Macaca mulatta: one gene and its partner. The protein of the gene in region 2 binds, or shares a complex with, the protein of the main gene of each other region. Links are inferred from orthologs where the notes say so. Each region holds a gene or a part of one and is shown on either strand. Other genes may lie near its edges. The genes, in order: NUP62 and NUP58.

Region 1 (4,562 bases), on a different chromosome or scaffold from region 2:
GCCCTTACCTGCCAGGGGCTCTCCCCCCACTGGAAGCCCGCCCTCCAGGGCTCCCCCAAGGACCTCATAAGGAGCCACGGGGGCAGGGGCAGGGGGGAGTTTCCCATAGTCTACGAGCCATCCCAGCCCACTAGCTGGGAGCAGGGTCCTGTCCAGCTCCAGCCCCAGGGTGGCCAGGAGTGACATGGCTGTAGCACAGGTGCAGGGCGCTGTAGCACAGGTGCAGGGCACTGATGGCAACAGGAGCGGCTGCACCAGCAGCTGGGACGAGGCTCTGGAGGATGCTCAGCTGGATGAAGACAGGCACCAAGGCGAAAGTGGAAGACCTACACGTGTGAGACAAGAGTGGGTGGGGTCGTGGGGTCAGGAAAGCCTCATCCACCGGCCAAAATCATGGGGAAGCCAAGCCACACCCCCAGGCACGTCCACGGGGCTCCTCCCTCCCCCTTCCAACCACAGTTTATAACTAAGCCTCAGCCTCTCCGAATTCTAAATTTGCCCTTTCTTTACCCAAATCTGAGCCCCACCCACTCCCAAGGGAATTTCTTTAGGTCCTAAGGTAGGACCGATGCCCCACCCTTTCCCCCAATACAGAAACCTAAGGGTCTCCCAGGGGAATTACCTTAGGCCCCTCCCATCCACCTCAGAATATTCCGCTTCATGGAAAAACTCAATTCCAGGGACATTTTCTTCCAGCCACGCCCCTTGCCCTAAAATATTTCCTTTTGGCCCCACTGCCTTCCTAGCTTCCATCCCAAACCAGTGCCCAGGGGAACTGCCCCAGGCCCCAGCCCTTCAGCAATGTTATCCACTCAAATCCCACTCCTCGCTTTGCCACTGTCCCTCCAAGCCCCGCCCCTCATTGTTTATTTAGCTCCGCCCCTCTCCGATTCCCCAGAGGCCCCGCCTCTTTGTCCCATCGAAGCCCCACCCCTCAGCTAAAGGTTGGCTTAGCCCCGCCCCTTCTCACAATGGGCTCACGAAATCCCACCCATCGTGACGACAGTGGTTCTAGCCCCACCCACTTAGAGGGCTGCCTCTAAGCCCCGCCTTCTCCCCTGTCAATCTAAGCCAGTCCCCGCCTCAGCAGGTGCCTGGTTTAAAAGGAAGGAAGTTGGGCTGTGAGCCAGAGCAACGTGGAGCAGGGAGGGTGGAGGAGGGTAGAGGGGGCAGGCAGAGAACTGCTACCCGAACGCCAGCCGTCCACACGCGGCTATGCGCCAAGGGCCAAAGCGCATGCTACGTCTTCCGAGCTGTCCAATTGCTTTACACCTCCGCCTTCTTGGGGATCAGTGCGCATGCGCGGACACTCAGGGCCCGCGCTCATTCATTACGGGGCACTGGTAGGCTACTGCGCAGGAACAACCAAGCACGCACAGAATCGTTTAGAAAAAGACCACACCCTCCCTTGGAGTGCGCAGGCGCAGCCACACGCCGGCTGACAAACATCGAGTCTCTAGAACTCTCCCACCCGGCTCCGGGCCCAGTGCGCATGCGCAGCCGCGCGCCTTCGGCCCACCGTACCTCTTCTGCGCCTGCGCGACCGTGATTCCCCGCTCGCAGCTCCCCTCCCCCCAGGGCTCCCTAAAGAGGGCCACGAGCTGCGAAAGGGCGGGAAAGGCGGTTGGAGAGGGACAAGTAAGCGGTTACTCACTCCATGGCTGCAGAAAGGAGAGGCGGCGGCGGCCTCGGCTGAAGAAAGAAGGTGGGAGCGGAGAGCGCAGGCGTGGTAAGCGCGGAGTCGGGCTGGGGGCACAAAGGGGTCGAGGCTACAGAGCCATGGCTGGGGCTACGCAGGCGGAGGCGGAGAACGCTGTAGTTAGAAGAGACCGTGATCTGAGGACGGGGAATGAGGCGGCCCCGGGGACTGGGGACAGAAATACTTCGGGTGGCGCAGCATGGCCCGCCCGGATCCTTCCGCGCCCCGCCCTCGCGGGGCCCCAACTGGGTGGCAGCCCGGTCCCCTCCTCCTGGGGATCAGGGGATCCGACCTCTTCCTTCCCACTCCTAGGGTCCAGGCCCCTCCTCCCTTTTGAGCCAGGGATCCGGCCCTCTCGTAGCTCCGGGGTCTGGTTTCCTCCTAAACTCTGGTTTCTTTCTTTTTCTGCCTGTGAGGTCTGGGCCTGCTTCCTCCTGTGATTTTGTGGATCCAGTCTCATTCTCTTCCCGGAGACCTGCACCATTTAATTTCTGTTTCCCTTTCCCTGCTTGCAGAATTTCCTGCCAGCCACACTTTTCATGTTTTCATCCCCCAACTGCTGACCCCGAGAAACCCTCGTGGGTTAGAGTCCAGCGTGAGTCACAGCACTCTCCCAAACACAGACCTACCAGGATGGCCTCGGGCAAATAGCTTAAGTTCTCTTGCTTCATTTCCCTATCCGTAAAATAAGAAAAATCAGCTCTCCTGGTGGGTTTATGAAACTCAAGACGGTGTCTGGCAAGCCTTATGCACAGAGTTCAACTCATACGTTCCTGTTCAATTTTTTTTTTTTTTTTTTTTTTGGTGAGATGACGTCTCTCGGTCTCTGTCGCCCAGGCTGGAGTGCAGTGGCGCGATCTCGGCTCACTGCAAACTCCGCCGAGTTCACGCCATTCTCCTGCCTCAGCCTCCAGAGTAGCTAGGATTACAGGCGCCCGCCACCACGCCCGGCTAATTTTTTGTATTTTTAGTAGAGACGAGGTTTCACCTTGTTAGCCAGGATGGTCTCGATCTCCTGACTTCATGATCGGCCCGCCTCGGCCTCCCAAAGTGCTGGGCTTACAGGCGTGAGCCACCGCGCCCGGCCTCAACATATTTTATTGGGGCCCAGCCTCACTTCTTCTTTCCCCCTTACAAGAGCCGCAGACGTTGGACTGTCTAACTCTTGCTGTCGTTCTTCTGTCTCCCTCATTCCTCTGAAGTGTCTGTTTCCGGCCATCCTCATCTTCCGTTCCAAATGATGGGTGCCCAGGCCCCATCCCCTGGCAGGGATTCAGACATCGAGGCCCCAGCTGCGTCCTTTTCTCCATCCCTTGCCCTTGGCTTCCTTTCAAACAGTCCTTAGCTTCCACGGGATAGGAACTATCTCCCAACCCTGCCAAAAATGGAAGATCTCCGTTTCCCTTTAGTCAGAGGGTAGCCATCTTGCCCCTTCTCATGCACAGGGCCCTCCACCAGCCGAGGTGGATGTCAGTCTTTTCTCTCTTGCAGAAACCCACTTTGTCCCATCCACGTCAGGACATCCCAGCTGGAGTTCAGCCTTCATCCCTTCTGTGGCAGTTAGGAGACTGAATCAAGGTCCAGAGAAGGTGGAGGAATCCTGGTATTGAGCGTTTTACACAAGCTTCTTTCTCCTCCCTTACTTGTCGCGGGCAGGAAGCCCTTCTTGGGATCTGACCACCTTCCCTTAGAGCACTTATTGTCCACTTTGCCAGCTTTTGAGCACCTGCCCTATATTTCCTTGAGCTTGTAGGGGTTGTGTTATCACTGAGACAGTATACAGAGTAGCAGCTAAGAGCATAAACTGAGCTTGTCCCATCCGTGGGCCTGCATGTGGCCCAGAATAGCTTTGAATGCAGCCTAATACAAATTCGTAAACTTTCCTAAACCATACGAATTTTTTGCGAGTGTTTTTTTTTTTTCCTTTTGAGCTCATCAACTATCATTAGTGTTATTTTATGTGTGGCCTAAGACAATTCTTGCGATGTAGCCCCAGGAAGCCAAATTTTATACATCCTTGGCATAGACTCTGGAGCCAGATTTATGAGTTCAAAACCTGACTGCACCCCTCTTATTAGCTGTGTGACCGTAGCCATTTCCCTTCCCGGTGCCTCGGTTTCCCCTGTGGTACAAGGTGGTGTTAAGAGTACCTGCCTCTGGGCCAGGCACGGTGGCTTACGCCTGTAATCCCACCACCCTGGGAGGCTGAAGTGGGCAGATTGCTTGAGCTCAGGAATTCGAGACCAGCCTGGGCAACATGGTGAAACCCCGTCTCTACAGAAAATACAAAAAAATAGCTGGGTGTGGTGGTTTGTGCCTGTGGTCCCAGCTACTTGTGAGGCTAAGGCAGGAGGATCACTTGAACCCTGGGGTGGGGCAGAGGTTGCAGTAAGCGGAGATTGTGCCACCACACTCCAGCCTGGGTGACAGAGTGAGACCCTGTCTCAAAAAAAAAAAAAAAACAAAAAAAACAAAACTGCCTGCCTCATAGGGCTGATTAAATGAGTTAATCCGCGTCGAGCAGTTAGACTAGTGCCTGGGACACAGTAGGTGCTGCATAAAAGTGGTTACTGTTACTGCTATAATTAAGGTGGATGTGTTCTCATTCCATTGCTGTGCAGTAAGTCCAACTTCCTTCCACTTCTCAGTATAGGTTTTTGAGCAAAAGCAGATGGAATTAAGGGTAGACTGTTGGACAGACTGCCAGTGGTAAGGACGCAGAGACGTGCCCTACCCCAGCCCCCCACCGGCAGAATCTTCTCCTAAGAAGACCTTCTAGCTTGTACTTGGGAACTGGGTTTGGTTTGGTTTGGTTTTGAGACAGAGTCCTGCTCTGTCGCTCAGGCTGGAGTACAGTATGATC
Region 2 (3,812 bases):
CATTGCTAAAAAACCTATCCTAAATTAAAATTATACTGAAAAGCCTAATGTAAATGTCTTCAGTTTTTCAGGAGGCTTGGGAAGCACTACAAGTGTCAAGTTCTGCCAACATGAAACTACGTTATCCACGTAATGATGCTCATGATTTCGTACACAAATAGCCTGCTGGATTTTTAATTCCCTGCAGCCTTCAGAACAAATAACTGTAAATCACACGTGCCTAAGCCCTAGTATATAGATTTTTTCATTTAAAAAAAAATGAAGAAAGACAAAGAAGTCATTTAAGTCTATTACTCCTCCTCTGAGAAAGATACAGAAGCCACCTTCAGAAGGCAGCAGTCTAAGAAGCTATTTGCTCTGTGCCCATATTCATGTTAATAAAAATTTCATATGCAAATAAAAGCAAAATCCCTCTGATAACTCAAATCTTGTATAGATAAACAGTGACGTATAAAAACAACGTGTAAGCTCTCTCTACCTTCATCTAGATGGTCTAAAATTTGTTACTGGCACTTAAAAGATTTCACAGAAGTCACAGAGCATAAGGGATAACTTACGGGGTACAAAACACCATTCAATAAATAGGGACGTTTCTAAATGTATCTAACAGAGCTCATAAATCTCACATCATGGTGACATGACTAAAATAACTAAAATTTTGACTGGGAAGGCCTGGGAGACCTTTAGAGAAACAAAAGGAGAAAGAAAAGATAATGTAAAATTGTTATCACTATTGTTTAGCTTCTCAGTTCTAAGAATTCATACAATTCAAAGCGAAAACACTGTAAGGTTGTTTAGGTTAATAAATTATAATTTCTGCTATCTGATTAGAAAGCCCTTACGTGGACTTCAAAATTTCAGGGAAGAGTGAAGGCAGTCAATTTCCCCAAAGCCTGGCAAATGTCACAGGCAAAATTAAAGCCTATGAGCAAAAGGCTCAAGAATACACCAAATTAGGCTGATATTCTCAACCACCACAGAGGACAAAGACCAAATCTATATTGTCTACCTTTGCATTTCCCGAGCCCAGCACATAGTAGGCACTCATTTAGAGAATGAACACACATCTCCATATGTCCACGAGCTCAAAATGTATGAGTGAAAACCTATGAATTTCTCAAAATAACACTGTCTAGATAAGAAAGTTAAACACACACACACACACACACACACACAAACCCTTGACAGGAGGTCTTGCTTCAAGTTTAGGTATTTATCATAGAATATATTCACTTACAACATAACTTTTTATATAACTGACATTTCTCAAGTTTTATTTAATAGAATGGAAATTCACTATGTTTAAAGAGCACTTAACCAAACCTACACTTATCTACTTTAGGATTAATACTGGCTCTAAAAAGTAAACTATTAACTGGTTAAGTAATAATGAGAGCTGATGGTCATAATTATGGGATTGATTCCTTTTAAGAAGTATCAATCCTCAAAGGAATTAATCCCATAATGACTTTTTCCCTCCGTAACTTGAGAATGCAATGCTACACTCCACTCAGTTAGAGAGCTACCAGACAGTGCTCATGCGAGCCACTACTCACACGGGTCCAGCCACGGAATATGGAGGATTTGACATAAATCTATCATCAACCCTTTACTTATGGCAAGTCAATTCTGTCAACTCCAAATGTGAAGAACAATGTTTTAAACTGCCAATAGTGAAAACCAGAGAATGCTTCCCTAGTATAGGTAGCCTGAATGCAATCTAAATATGTATTAATTTTTTTTGTATTATAATGTACTATTGGACTATATGGAACTCTCAGAAAGACACATGCTATTGAGTAATAAGCATTACTAAGAAGTTTATGATGATTAAAGCAAAAAAATCTGTATCAATTAAGACTATTTTTCCATCTCAAGCTTCAAACTTGACAAAAGGGATGGCAGGATTAAGATAATTATTAACCTCCGATAGACACAGGACCAAATAAAGCACTGTAGAATGACCACAAAAATGTTTCTCTAATTAGAAGTGTAACTAAACCAAGGAATAAAACAATCTGCTTTCCATGTCACCGATTATTTTCATCTGTTCAACTTCTCAGTTGCTCCTTAATGTGTAATCTACATCTCAAAACATCTTTCTCCTGTGCTTAATGTGCAATCCACATCTCAAAACATCTTTTTCCGGCTCTTGCTGTTCTGTTCACCTTGAAAAGGTACAATTCTAGCATGTATCTTCTTCAAAAGTTGGTTTAGAGGGCCTGTATTCTGTTTACAGTCAACATACATACAAACAAGCCTACTGATCTTCAACATAACTTCAGTCAATAAAAGCATACTTCATCCTGAATGTGGGTAATCGCTATGTATGAGGAAAATGAGAATGCACCATCTATCAGTATCATATATGAAAAATTCAATGTAAGAATGGATGATCTCTGACTTTAAAACAATAAATGGTACAGTCATGATTTCAGAATCTAATGTTATTCTTAAATGTAATTCACTAGTGAAACACCATATTCTAAAGGGCATTTATAGCAATACAGCAAATAACATTAAGTAAATTCACAATATTCAGTATCTAATTGATGTATAATTATTGCTAAGACTACCCTGCCTTTTTTATCAGGTATGTTTATAATTGTGTCCATCACAATTTTAGATTGTATTGGAACAGCTACTCATATAAATTTCTTCAGTGCTCACACAAATGGAAGACTTATAAAAACGCACATAAATGTTCTGCATTGGAACAGTAAGAAGCTATAACTTGAATGCGTTCAGACCTGTAGCAGGCTGTTGCTGCTGTGTAAGTGTTGCAGCCATGGCAACGGCTGCTGCGTTTGGCATGGTGCTGAAAGGGGTGGGTCCAGTAGTAACTCTGGGTGTGTTCTGCCACTTCTTGGCTTCGGCTCGCCTTGTTTCAAACACATCAACAGCATCTCCCAAGAACATTTTCCTGTAGCCAAGGTACTGTTCTTTCAGAACCTAAAGAATAAAAAATAAACAAAAAGGCTAAATGAAGTTCCACATTGACTATGGTAATACATGGATGAATATAACCATGAGTTACCAAAGACATTGCCAATATTATACATTCAATCTGAACTGCAAATAGAGTGCTAATAATGCACTTTCATGTAGGAAGTGATGAGTTCAAGAGTTCTACTGCTCCCTTGAATAGTTTACTCCCTATCTTTACAATATGCTTCCTAAAATACTGTCTTTGTGAGGCCTTGTTTGAAATAAATCAGCTGGCCGGGCGCAGTGGCTCACGCCTGTAATCCCTGCACTTTGGGAGGCCGAGGCGGGAGGATCACGAGGTCAGGAGATCGAGACCATCCTGGCTAACACGGTGAAACCCCGTCTCTACTAAAATACAAAAAATTAGCCGGCACGGTGGCGGGTGCCTGCAGTCCCAGCTACTCGGGAGGCTGAGGCAGGAGAATGGTGCGAACCTGGGAGGCGGAGCTTGCAGTGAGCCGAGATGGTGCCACTGCACTCCAGCCTGGGCGACAGAGTGAAGACTCCGCCTCAAAAAAAAAAAAAAAAAAAAAGAAATAAATCAGCTATGCTTTTAGACAGAGTAGTATCTAAATAAACACTCCATCAATGTGAAGATGGATGAAAAGACTTTAAAAATAAATATTCCAGTTTCTCAAGAAACTTTCCCCTCAAATGTCCAACCTTTTCATAGCCTTTTGATTAAAACAGTTAAAAAAAGAAAAAAAAGTCAGCTCTAAATATATATATTTTTAAACACATTTTTTAGAAGGCCTGGGTAACACATGCTAAAATAAGATGTTGCACCTCAGCAGAATGCTTGGAGGGTATCACGAGGGCTTCTA

Evidence for each region.
Region 1: NUP58 (region 2) and NUP62 share a complex: the UniProt entries of both Homo sapiens proteins name them as parts of the p62 complex. The link is inferred for Macaca mulatta from reciprocal best matches to the Homo sapiens genes NUP58 and NUP62.

The regions. Positions count from the first base shown.
Region 1 is NC_133424.1:62,390,376-62,394,937, reverse strand, and holds the start of NUP62 (nuclear pore glycoprotein p62), read left to right. Parts: upstream 1-1,652; 5' UTR 1,653-1,729; exon of another isoform or gene 1,730-1,851; intron 1,852-3,190; exon of another isoform or gene 3,191-3,302; intron 3,303-4,047; exon of another isoform or gene 4,048-4,192; intron 4,193-4,562. Other genes in the region: ATF5 (cyclic AMP-dependent transcription factor ATF-5), read right to left, coding at 9-186. UniProt on the Homo sapiens protein: Essential component of the nuclear pore complex. The N-terminal is probably involved in nucleocytoplasmic transport.
Region 2 is NC_133422.1:5,561,747-5,565,558, reverse strand, and holds part of NUP58 (nucleoporin p58/p45), read right to left. Parts: intron 2,953-3,812; coding exon 2,751-2,952; intron 1-2,750. UniProt on the Homo sapiens protein: Component of the nuclear pore complex, a complex required for the trafficking across the nuclear membrane.